Linked DNA regions of Rattus norvegicus. The main gene of each other region encodes a partner of the protein of the gene in region 3 in a complex. Links are inferred from orthologs where the notes say so. Each region holds a gene or a part of one and is shown on either strand. Other genes may lie near its edges.

The links.
Region 1: Pold2 (region 3) and Rev3l share a complex: the UniProt entries of both Homo sapiens proteins name them as parts of the tetrameric Pol-zeta complex. The link is inferred for Rattus norvegicus from reciprocal best matches to the Homo sapiens genes POLD2 and REV3L.
Region 2: Pold2 (region 3) and Pold4 share a complex: the UniProt entries of both Homo sapiens proteins name them as parts of the tetrameric DNA polymerase delta complex. The link is inferred for Rattus norvegicus from reciprocal best matches to the Homo sapiens genes POLD2 and POLD4.

The regions. Positions count from the first base shown.
Region 1 is NC_086038.1:44,784,376-44,788,023, reverse strand, and holds part of Rev3l (DNA polymerase zeta catalytic subunit), read right to left. Parts: coding exon 1,810-3,648; intron 1-1,809. UniProt on the Homo sapiens protein: Catalytic subunit of the DNA polymerase zeta complex, an error-prone polymerase specialized in translesion DNA synthesis (TLS). Lacks an intrinsic 3'-5' exonuclease activity and thus has no proofreading function.
Region 2 is NC_086019.1:210,954,928-210,958,439, forward strand, and holds Pold4 (DNA polymerase delta subunit 4), read left to right. Parts: upstream 1-1,266; 5' UTR 1,267-1,389; coding exon 1,390-1,486; intron 1,487-1,761; coding exon 1,762-1,851; intron 1,852-2,044; coding exon 2,045-2,156; intron 2,157-2,516; coding exon 2,517-2,541; 3' UTR 2,542-2,700; coding exon of another isoform or gene 2,701-2,725; 3' UTR 2,726-2,936; downstream 2,937-3,512. UniProt on the Homo sapiens protein: As a component of the tetrameric DNA polymerase delta complex (Pol-delta4), plays a role in high fidelity genome replication and repair.
Region 3 is NC_086032.1:84,966,270-84,970,566, forward strand, and holds the start of Pold2 (DNA polymerase delta subunit 2), read right to left. Parts: upstream 2,828-4,297; 5' UTR 2,809-2,827; exon of another isoform or gene 2,626-2,808; intron 1,605-2,625; 5' UTR 1,548-1,604; coding exon 1,328-1,547; intron 1-1,327. UniProt on the Homo sapiens protein: Accessory component of both the DNA polymerase delta complex and the DNA polymerase zeta complex.

The DNA.
Region 1 (3,648 bases), on a different chromosome or scaffold from region 3:
ATACTTGCTGGTGGCATACCATGAGGTCTCAGGTTCAATGTCCTGCCTCAATCAAACCCCCATCTACAGAGCTGAAGTGAACTGCCATGATTCCATTCTCTCAGGTACTCGAGTTTGACATAAACATAGGAACTCTGGAATTGGCAGAACAAGGTAGACAGCCTAGTTCCACTAATGTTTGAGCACATGTGTATAAACAGAATCGTAATTCAGAGTCTGGTGTGGTTTTGTGTGGTTGTGTGTACTCGTGAGTGTGGAGGTCGGAGGACAGACTTTTGGGTGCTGTGCCTCAAGTGCCACCCTCTCTTCTGTCCCCAAGTAGAATAGGCTGTCTGGTCAGCAAGCCTCGAAGCTCTCCCCAACTCTACAGATGAGGGTTACAAATACGAAACACCATTCCTGTTTTGTTTTCGTTATGCTTAAAACCAGCCACCCACCATGGACTCATGTCCTCAAGCACTTTACTGACTGACCTCCACGCCTGAAAGCCTTGGGTTAGGTCATGTGGTAAAGAGGAGCCATCACTGCTAAAGAAACCCGTACAGTAATTCCCACTGCACTCTGCTGTTACAGGTCTATTACTTCTCTGAAAATCTTGACTGAAGGAAGTCAGGGGAACTAAACTGTCTATGCCTTAATAAATATAAAAACAAATAGCACTATCAGTCTACAGATGATGAAAACAAATGAAAAGTGGTTTAGAACAGCAATACCAAAAACTCATGTCCATTTACTGTCATAGAATAACTTATGTGTGCTCAATGCTGATGTGTGGGTCTTGAGTGGCCCTTAAATGTCCATGCATCAGAGGCCTGGCCCCTAGCTTGGGATTCAGGGAGTTGCCAGAAACTGTGAGATGGGATGTAGTGAGAGGTCTTTAGAGTACAGGCACTGGCCTCTTCCTTTTGGTCCTCTGCCATCCATGCCTACGCTGATGTGCTCTCTTGCCATCGACTCAAGCAATAGGCTCATCATGGACTGGAACCCAGGAAGCTATCAGTCCGGTCAGACCTCTTCTCTTTATAAACTGGGCTGTATCCAGTATTTCTCACAGCAACAGAAAGCAGACAAACAAAAACTCTAAAGAAACAGTTTTTTAAAAATTCTAAAACTCAATTTTAGTCTGGTGAGATGGTTCTACAGATAAAGACACCCGCTGCCAAGGCAGATGAGTTTGATTCCCCGAGACCCACAAGGTGAAAGGTGGGACTTACTTTCCACAGGTTATCCTCTGACCTCCATACTTGTGAAATGCACACACACACACACACACACACACACACACACACACACACACACACACACACAGAGTGTATAAAAATATAAGAAGCTTAAGGAGTAAAACTTCCATTTCAAAAATGATCATTGTGGGGTATATGCCAGGTAGAGTGCTTGCCTCTGATGTGAGGTTCTGGGTTCAGTTCTTACCCTCAGATTTTCATATATATACATAGTCTCTTCATCCTGACCCTCCCTCCCTCCCACCTCCTCGTGCAAGACATTGAGGTATTTGACATTCATTTAAATTCTGCAACATGTCAAAGTGATCCTTTGCTCCTCTAATTCTCAATGGCAACATGGAGTCAAGTACTAGTAAATTAAAGTCTAAGAGTCATCATCTTAATTTCTCTAGGTGTTTTCTAGTTTGTGAATGTGCTTAATCAGTCTCTAATTACAAATAATTTTCTTCATTGTTCTTAAAAATGCAGTATCACAGCTATAAAACTAGTAGTGAGTTATGAAATGTTATAGAAATAAGAATTATTCAAAGTTACCCAGGGGTTGGGGGGGGGGATTAGTTCTGATTACCTGGGCTTCTCTGGCACATCCGAAGGATTACTGCAAAATGGTTCCTGATATATAGCTTCTGAAAGATCATGGTCTAGCAAAGTTGCCACGATTTCTTCCCTACTTGGTGGAGACATAAGCGGTTTCAGAATGTGAGCAGTTCGAGGAGTAAAACTGCCGTTCTTAGATTGTAAGGGAGAACTGGTAGACCGGGGTGAACTATCAGGGGTTGGTGTCAGCACGTCGTTGTTTCTTGAGACGTACAATTCTAAATCTTCAGAAGCTGCATCCACAAGTTCCCCATCAGGGGAGGAAAGTACGGTAGTGAAAGAGGTATTAGCTGAGTCAAGGGACTGTTCTATTTCTTTTCCGTTATGACCTTGAATCCAGTCTGAACTGCTTGCCTGCGGGAGACTGAGAAACACTTCCTTACTCACCGAACTCCTATTCAGTCTCGATTTTTCAGGTAGACAGCTTTCTGCTTGCTGGACACAGAAAGACTCCATTATTGAGTTAGAGTGAGAGGTCAGAGGGTGAAAGCTAGTTTTCCATTGGCTGTGCCGATGATTCTCATTGTTATCTATACCTACTTTCTCAAAAAGTTCAGGGTTCAAAGTACTGGCTCTAACCCATGGGCCTGAGTCAGAGACGTGATGCTTTTCCTCAGTACAACTCTGTCTGTCATGACTTAAAAGCTCGTTCTTTTCTATAGCCTGTCCTGGGAACAGATCCTGAACGGCGTCGCTTAGAAACTTCTGGGGCAAATTCTGGTCAGCTGGAACAAACTGACTGCCAGAGTACAAGCTGCAAAACCCAGTCTGACCAATTGTGTTAATATCAAAATTATAATTATGTTCAGGAGACAGGCTGTCTTCAAGTGAGTAACAACTTTCGAAGCCTGGATCTGAGAAAAGGATGGGACTGTCATCTGACAGGGAGTTATCCAAGTGGCCAGAGGTCTGCAGGTTTAGAGGGTCCACTTTCAGACGTCTGGGGGTTTGTTCCTTAGGCTTTGTTCTCCTGGGAGCTCGAGGTTTCCTTGGAGATGCTACTGCTCGTGTCCGTTTATTTGTCTTCTTGTGCTCAGCAGAAACAGAAATATCCTTATCTGGCTGATGACTAGATGCCGAATCTTGTACATTTGTGGTTTGTGCTTTCTGCTGTCTTTTTTGTAACAATTCTTTTAGAACAGCTAACCCAGACTGTCCTTCACCAAATACTGAAGGTGTTGACACATTTTGATTTTTACATTGAGATAGTGCTTTGGTTTGTGAAATTGCTTCTGACAATGACCTCTGTTTTACCTTTTCAGGCTTAAAACTTGACATCTCTAAAATACAGCCCCTCTGTCTCTGCTCCCATGTTATTTGTTTGATGGGACTTCTCAAAGAAGTTACAAAACAGTTAGGTGTCTGGCTCTCCTCAGAAGCTGCATTTCCCGGAGAACAGGTTTCACTGGGTTTTGACTGTTCTGACACATTCACAGTCTGCTGCTGACTGTCTCTGCAGTGCAAAAAATTAGGGGCACAGACTTTCTCTGGCTTTGACTCTAGGGAACTGCGATACTCATTTAACTTTCCAATAGATGACCCACAGTTCTTTTGTGTATTTGAACTCTCCTCTGTCTTTGGAGATATTATACCTGAACATAACTGCGTGCTCTGTGCTACCTGAGACAAATGGTTAGAAAGGTCAAATATGCTTTTCTGAATCAAGGTTGTTTCCTTTCGAGTAAACATAGCACTTTGACTATGAGATCTCTGAGTATTAACTTTTGAGACTCCAGGCCCTATAGAACTATAAACAGAGGAACGGGAATCACCTCTTGAACTGGGGAATGTTGGAAACTGTACAGACTTC
Region 2 (3,512 bases), on a different chromosome or scaffold from region 3:
GGGTGATTAGTGCTGGGTCAGTCCCAGTGCTGGTTCCCAGACTCCCACAGGCCAACACTTTCACCCGCTGCCAGGAAGTTGGTGAGGGGGAGGTGGTAGTACGGGTGAGTCAGCGATGACAGGAGCCCCAAAACAAAGGTCATGGGTAGAAAATTGAGAGACACTGTTTACAGCAATTACCTTCTGGAGGTCTTCTCCCAGTGCCTACCATCCTCCTCTAGCTCTGAGGAGTTCTTACTCCTGCTCTTCTGTCCAGGCCTGACAACTGTGTTTGACCCTATACCTTGTAAGCTTGGGAGCTTCTAGAGCACAAGGAAGGCTAGTTAGTTACACAGTATCTGTGACTAAGAGTACTGATCACAATTTGCCTACACTTCCCACTTGCAAAAACCTCTTTTGATATCTATTTTGAATTAGCATGTGGGAGATGCTTAGAACTTGGCACATGGTAAATCCAATATGAAGGTTAGGTTTATTGAAATTATTTTCTGTTCGTGATACACATTCAGAAAACAAAAACAAAAACAAGAAAAAACAGAGCAGATCTGTCCATTAAGAACTGGGAATATGAACCCATGGAGAGTGGGGACTATATTTCTGGTGTCTTCCTTGGAATGGAATCTTCCTGACTAGCAAAGGGGACAGAGGCAGGCTGTGGGACTTGACAGCAGGCACAGCAACCGTATGCCTGGGTTGAGTGAACAGTGTCTCTGCCAGCAGACTGTGAGAAAGGAGCCTTCTGAGCGCATGGGTTTCTTCAGCAAGGTCTCCTGGGGCCAGTAGGAGCAGGGAAGGACCTGGTCAAGTCCAAACTCTCTTTGGACCTACAGATCTGATCCCACAGCGCTCTAGGGCCAACCGGCAGGAGTAAAAGGTTCTCAGGGGACTTACAAACTGGCCACGGGGATTAGTGAGGCTGAAAAGAACATTTGCCTAGGAAGGAAAAACGGGAAGTGAGAGGCCGAGGATAACTCTCTATACGTCCCTGGGGACCCAAGTAGACCAATGAGAAACCCGAGGAGGTGGTGAAGTCTGGGGCATCTTGACAGGTTCTTGGTTCCGCCTAACCCCTCCTCAATCGGAACGCAGCAGCAGCTACCCCGCCCCCTGCTTCTGCCGATTGCCATTGGCTAGAATTAAGGCCCCGCCCCGCAAAGGCCGTTTGCCATTTGCTTAGGTCTCTGATGTTTGCATGCTTGTGGGGGCGGAAGACAGGCGTCATTCCCTGGAACTTAAGGACTTCCTCTCTATGCTTGTCTGGGTCAACTTGTCTGTCCATTGCTGGCCTATCTTTCTCTGGCCCCCTCTCTCACTCTCAGCAGCTGTCTCTCACAGGCCCGCTGCCCTGCCTTTTCTTTGCCTCCTGCTCCGCCTGCCTGGGTGGCCGCCATGGGTCGGAAGCGGTTCATCACAGACTCCTACCCTGTTGTGAAGAAGAGGGAGGGGCCCCCTGGGCACAACAAGGGGGAGCTGGCACCCGAGCTAGGTCTCTGAAATGTGGGGGTGGCAGGGAGAAATGGACATGAAGTGACCAGAAAGGACTCTGTGTGTGTGTGTGTGTGTGTGTGTGTGTGTGTGTGTGTGTGTGTGTGTGTGTGTGTTGGCTAAAAGGAGAAGCTAGCATGTCTCGCACTTCCGATGAGCTGTCTGTCTGCCCGATGGCAAAGGCAAACGAGTGGGGAGATAGCCAAGAAATAGAGGCACAGCTCTGAGTCCAGGGCAAAGGCCTGGATGAGCCTGAGGAGCCACATGTTATTGCAGGGGAAGACACCCAGTCCCTCAGCCAGGAGGAAACAGAGCTGGAGTTGCTGAGGCAGTTTGACCTGGCCTGGCAGTATGGGCCTTGCACAGGTGAGAACCCCATTTCCGGCCCCTCCCATTAGGCACAGTTCTGTCATCAATGTGCCTCAGAAGTAGTCCAAGTGCCTGCCTAACTCTTGGACACCTGTTTCCTGAGACTGACGTATGTAGGCTCAAGAAACTGCCCTCTGTATTCTCTAGCCCAGACTCCCCTGCCCATCCTGACTTCTTTCCCCGGTGGTAGGTATCACAAGGCTGCAGCGCTGGCATCGGGCAGAGCAGATGGGCTTGAAGCCCCCCGTAGAGGTGTACCAAGTGTTGAAGACACATCCTGAAGACTCTCGCTTCCAATGCAGGTCAGGACAAGCTGGGACAGCCTTCAGGGAAACCAGGCACTTCTCCAAGGGTTGCCACCCTCTTGGTCTATGTAGGGGCTGCCTTGACTTGGAGAAATGGGTACAGACTTAGAGAGTCCTTCCTGACAAGCAAAAAGGGTCTTCTAGGTGCCTGGCTTGAGACAGTTCTCTACAATGACCTTACCTCTATGAGCTAATGGTGGGGGAAGAGTATATCTAGGGCCCATGGGGCTATCCATGCATACTGGGGTGTTCACCAGAGCCACAGAACGATAGGCAATAGTTACGAACTAGAGATAGTCCATCAGGGAACAGAGCCAACTTGGTTATGCATTCCTTCTCCCACCCTGTCTTCCACAGCCTCTGGCATCTCTACCCACTCTGAGGTACCACCTAGGTTGTCCCCTTGGCATCTCCTAGCCACCAAGAACTTCAGGGCAGACATCATGGCTTTCTCTGATCACCATTCCATTTTTGGATAACAAGTTAGCAGGCTGACTTTGGAGGTCTTCCTGGTCCAGCTTCTTATCTGTCTACACAACAGGCTACTGAAGCTCCTGGGGACCTGAGAAGCCGAGCAGAGCACCTCCAAGCTCTAATCATGAGCACTAGATGTCTGCCACACCCTCTCTGACCTATGGTGTGGCAAATCCAGCACAGTCTGGCATAAAGCCAGATGTAGTCAGGGCCCACCTAGGGCATCTTGCTGAGAACACAACTGGCTGAGTTCTTAATCAAAAAGTTCACTAATGCTTACAATAAAGTATATTAAGCCTGAAATCCTGACTTTAGTCTCTTAATATGCCCTACTCTAGCTGGCAGTTCCCAAAATGTAAGTAGTCTGGAGAGCCAGCAACAGCTTTTTATTTTATTTTATTTTATTTTTTGGTTGGTTGGTTGTTTTGAAACAGTTTCTCTGTGTTATCCTGGTCCTGGAACTTACTCTGTAGACTAGGTTGGCCACAAACTCAGAGATCTTCCTGCCTCGATTCCTGAATTTTGAGATTAAAGGGTTTCAATATGGGGGGGGGGGGAGAGACACTATGATCAGAATGTAAAGTGAATAAATTAATTAATGGGGAAAAAGGTCTCATAATATGGTCCTGTCTGTCCCAGAACTCACTCTATAGACCAGGTTGGTCTCTCTCTCTCTCTTTTTTTTTTTTTAAAGATTTTATTTTATTTATATGAGTACACTGTTGCTGTCTTCAGACACACCAGAAGAGGGCATCAGATCCCATTACAGATGGTTGTGAGCCACCATGTGGTTGCTGGGAATTGAACTCAGGACCTCTGGAAGAGCAGTCAGTGCTCTTAACTGCTGAGCCATCTCTCCAGCCCCCAGGTTGGTCTCTT
Region 3 (4,297 bases):
AATGATTCTTTCACAGGGGTAGCATATCAAATATCCGTATATCAGATATTCATAATTCATAATAGAAAAATTACACCTGTGAAACAGCAATGGAATAATTTTATGCTTGGGGGTGAGCATAACACGAGGGACTGTATTGAAGAGTCGCAGCATTAGGAAGGCTGAGAACCTCTGTTCTACACAGAATCAGCCCTGTTGACTCGATTTCAGAGTTTACACCTCCAGAACCACAGGAGAATAGATGTGCGTTGTTCTAAGTCCCTTTACAGCACTTCCTTTCATGGACAGGTGAAGTAACTGTGAAGGATATTACTTACACGCCTGTCCCATGCTCTGTGCAGACAACTACCATGTCCTTAAGACTCTGCATTCGTTTGTTTTTTCCAGTCAGGGTCTTATGACACAACTCTGGCTATCCTGGAACTCACTCCACAGACCAGGCTGGCCTTGAACTCACAGGGACCCACCTGCCTCTGCCTCCTCAGTGCTAGGATTAAAGGCTAAGTCTCTGGATTCTCATGTGCCAGCCCCTGCTCTGCCCGATCCCTCACCCTGAAAATATACACACCTCGTAATTCCTACTCTGTGCCCCCTCCGCCCTGGCCCACCCTACTCCCCGTGGAGTCAGCAGCCTTGTTCATTCAAAGTCCCCAGGAGGAAAACCGGAACATGGGTGAATGTTCCCCACGCCCAGGAGGGAAGATGTGGGGAGGCACACTGGGCAGGAAGAAGGAAAGCGAGTTCCAGAGAGTTCCAGGGATTCATCGGCACAGACCCAATCCTAGGACAAACTGCTGAGGAGGGAGGGTGAAGTGGAGGCTGGGCCAGAGCCACACTCACACCCTAGAAGAGCCAGGAACATTCCTCAGAGCTCCACCCAGAGGAGCTGACGATTCCGCAGAAGGAAAGGGGGACTGACACCGCACAGAAACACCAGAGGTCAACAGAAGCAACAGATCCCGAATCCCTGCCTGTGGCTCTACGGTTTAGGTGTGGTCCATCCCTCAAAGACTGAGGCTTCCACTGTGAGGAGCTCTCTCGATAGGGTGGGCACACCAGAGACCAGTGCACACTGAAGGTAGCAAGAATAGTAAAACCATGTCTTCCATGTATGAGACAGTAGCCATCACTGCCCGAACTCAGCCCTTATCTCTGACCAGCCTCTGAGCCAAACCCCAACTTCAACCCCACAGGTTAATTCAATCCTCGCCTTTAAGAAGCAGCAAAGAGCGGGAGACTGTTCCCATGGTAACTGGGAAGTACCCCAGGTTAGATAAAGTCCCAGTTCTAGATGCTGGGCTGTTGGGAGCAGCGTACCCAAGCTTACCCCAGTGCTGCTGCGCCCGGCTCACCAGGAAGGGTCTCATCTGGATAAGGCGTGTGGCATAAATATGGGCGTACTGTCGGTTAAAGCTGCGCTCTCCCAGTCGGAAGGGCTGTGAGGAGTTGGTGTACGTGGCCACAGGCACCCGGGCAAAGGTGGCATTGCTGGCTGATGGCGGGGAGAGCAGAGTGTGGGCCCTCTGTGCTGCCTGCTCTGAAAACATGGCGGCACTCGTGGCTTGTTTGGTCCAAGCAGTTGCGTCCAGGCCCAAGAGTTATCACTGCAGAAACACACAAAGGCGTTCCTGTAATGCCTACCTGTACCCGAAGCAGCAGCTCCCCTGGTGTCCCAACCACTCTGCTTACACTGCACCCAATGTGCACACATGTGTCAGGAGATGCTGCCCTATAACCTAATCAGATAAATCCTGGAGCTTGCTCCAAACCTCGCTCATCACCTTCTCCACTCTCTATTTCTACCTGATCACCAGGGTCTCAAATTCAGCATACCCTCAAGTGGAATTATTGATCTGCCTCTATCCAGCTCCCTGGTAACTGTGCTACCTCTGGGAATGCTGCCAGACGTCTCTAAAGAATCATTAGTGATAAAACTGAAGTATAAAGCTGTCCCTGCTTTGCTCAAAACTCTCCAGAGGTTGCTTTTCGGTAAATAAAACCCCAAGTTCTTACCACTTCCTGTAAGATCAGCTCTGGTCCTGCTGGTCCTTCCCTCCTACCTGTTTCTCCTTCCAAGTGTCCCTTCGACAGGAGAGGCTCCAAGTAGAGGCCTCTCTACTCCTACTGGCTCCTCTCCCATATTCCCCCAAGGCTTACTGGCTTCAAGTCTTTCCTTAAAACTCAGCTTCCCTTATCTAATTAACTAGATTTGCTACTTCAGTTGTCTTCATCATTCATCTTCTCAAGCATTCACTTTGTCTCCTTCAACTGCATCCTAAGCTCCGGGAGGGCAAAGGTTTGTTTTCTTCAAGGATGTATTGCACCGCCTTCCCACTAAGAGGTCCAACTAAGATGTGCTTGGAGGATGCACAACGGATTTTAGTATATAGTATAAACTACTTCAACATATTCTTCATTCGTAGTTGAGATGACAACAGGTTGGATGTAGTAACGTGAGTTTTGAACACAGCGTTCTTCAAGTTTTACTTTTTTGGTACAGCTATTACAAAGTTCAAGTTCCCCTAGCTGGCTCGGCTTTCTTTCACGCACAGCTCTGGCTTAGGAAGCGGACCCTACAATTTGCAAAATGGGCCCATGTAAACTCTATGTAAGGCAAACACGCACGTTGGTGGCAGCGGCCCACATGGTGCCCCGAGCCGGACGCTATGGGCGACCTGTCCCGCAGCAGACGCGCCCACCTCGGGCCCACGTTGCAGTTCGAAGCACCCTCAAGACCCCATCCTGCTGCCCAGGTAGCCCCCAGCCTGGCCCAACACCCATATTGACCCCACTCAGCAGCACACTCACCGCGCCGCGCCGCATCCCGCCAATCTCCGCGCGCCCGTCCCGCCCATTGGTGCATTCGGCCAATGGCGTCCCGCCCCGCCCCGCCCGTCGCTGCACGCCTCATCCAGCCAATCCCCGTGCACCCCGCCTCTGGAGGCGGAGCCACGCCTCCGGTTCCCCGGACAACCCTTACCTAGCACTGAGTTTCCCATGCGCATGCGGCGTTTGCGGCTGGGCCTCACCGTGTGAACCCGTGGGTAGTGTGGGCCGTTCTGAGGCTCTGCGCCTGGCTGATCCCACTCTCCCCGGGCGCTTGTGGTCTGGAGGCTCCTGTGGGTGGTGGCAGCTTCCCTCCTACACTATCCTGCGCTATGATTCTCACTCTGACTTCTCAAATTCTCTGGGAAGCGTGAACAAATTCTCCGATCTCACAGGAAACTGAGGCAAAATGACCCTGAGGCAAAAGCTGTAATCTCACTAAGACCCTGACTGCAAGTGCAGCAGTCGTCACTGGTAACATTGTTCCTTTTTTTTTTTTTTTTATTCCTAATTACTCAATCTGAAACTTATTATTTAAGGTATTTTTCTTCCGGCTTGGTAAGTTTTTGATTTCTTTTGAATTTGTTTTGTTTTGTTTTATGTGTATGGGTGTTTTGCCCGCATGCATGTCTGTACCCTATGCGTGTGCAGTATCCTCAGAGGCCAGAAGAGGGCGTACTGGAACTGGACTCCTCCTGGAACTGGAGTTAGAAATGGTTGTGAGCTGTCTTGTGAGTGCTGGGAATCCCTCTTGAAGAGAAGCCAGTGCTCTTAACCACTGAGCTGTCTCTCCAGCGTCTGGTTTTGTATTTGCTTTTAGAGGGTTTGTTTATTTTGTGTGCCCGTGTGCGGTTACGTACATGTGAGTGTAAGTGGCGTCAATAGGGTCCGAAGAGACTGAGATCGCTTGAGCTGGAGTTAGCAGATGGTTGTGAGCCACCCAGTCGGGCAGGGAGCCCACCGCCATTACTCTGAAAGAGCTCTTAACCCAGCCTTCTCTCCAGCGCCTTGTTTCTGTTTCTGTTTGTTTTTGTTTTTTGAGACAAGGTTTTCCTTGTTTGTTTGTTTTTTTTTTTTTAATAATGATTTAAATCATTTGTTTTTAATGTTTCAGTTTGTTGAGTACTTTTTCCTTTGTAAGCTGGGATAAGTTTGGGGGATTTTTGCCTACTGTCTCAAGTAGTCTGTTGCATATTTAATTATGTTGAAACGTTCTTTTGTTCCAGGAACAAACCCCATTTGATGGATTTAGAAACCACTTAGAATTAGAAACCAAAGTTACAGTGACACTAAGCTCTCTCATTGTTCAACCCCTTAGGATTTCTTACAATAAACGAACTTACCAAATTTTATCCGAGAATGTCTTTATTTCTACTTTTTCCTTGAGACTGGTCCAGTCTGACCTAGAACTTACAGTGTAGCCAAGCAGGGCCTTAAACTCCTGATCTTTCTGTCTACACCTCTGGAGTGC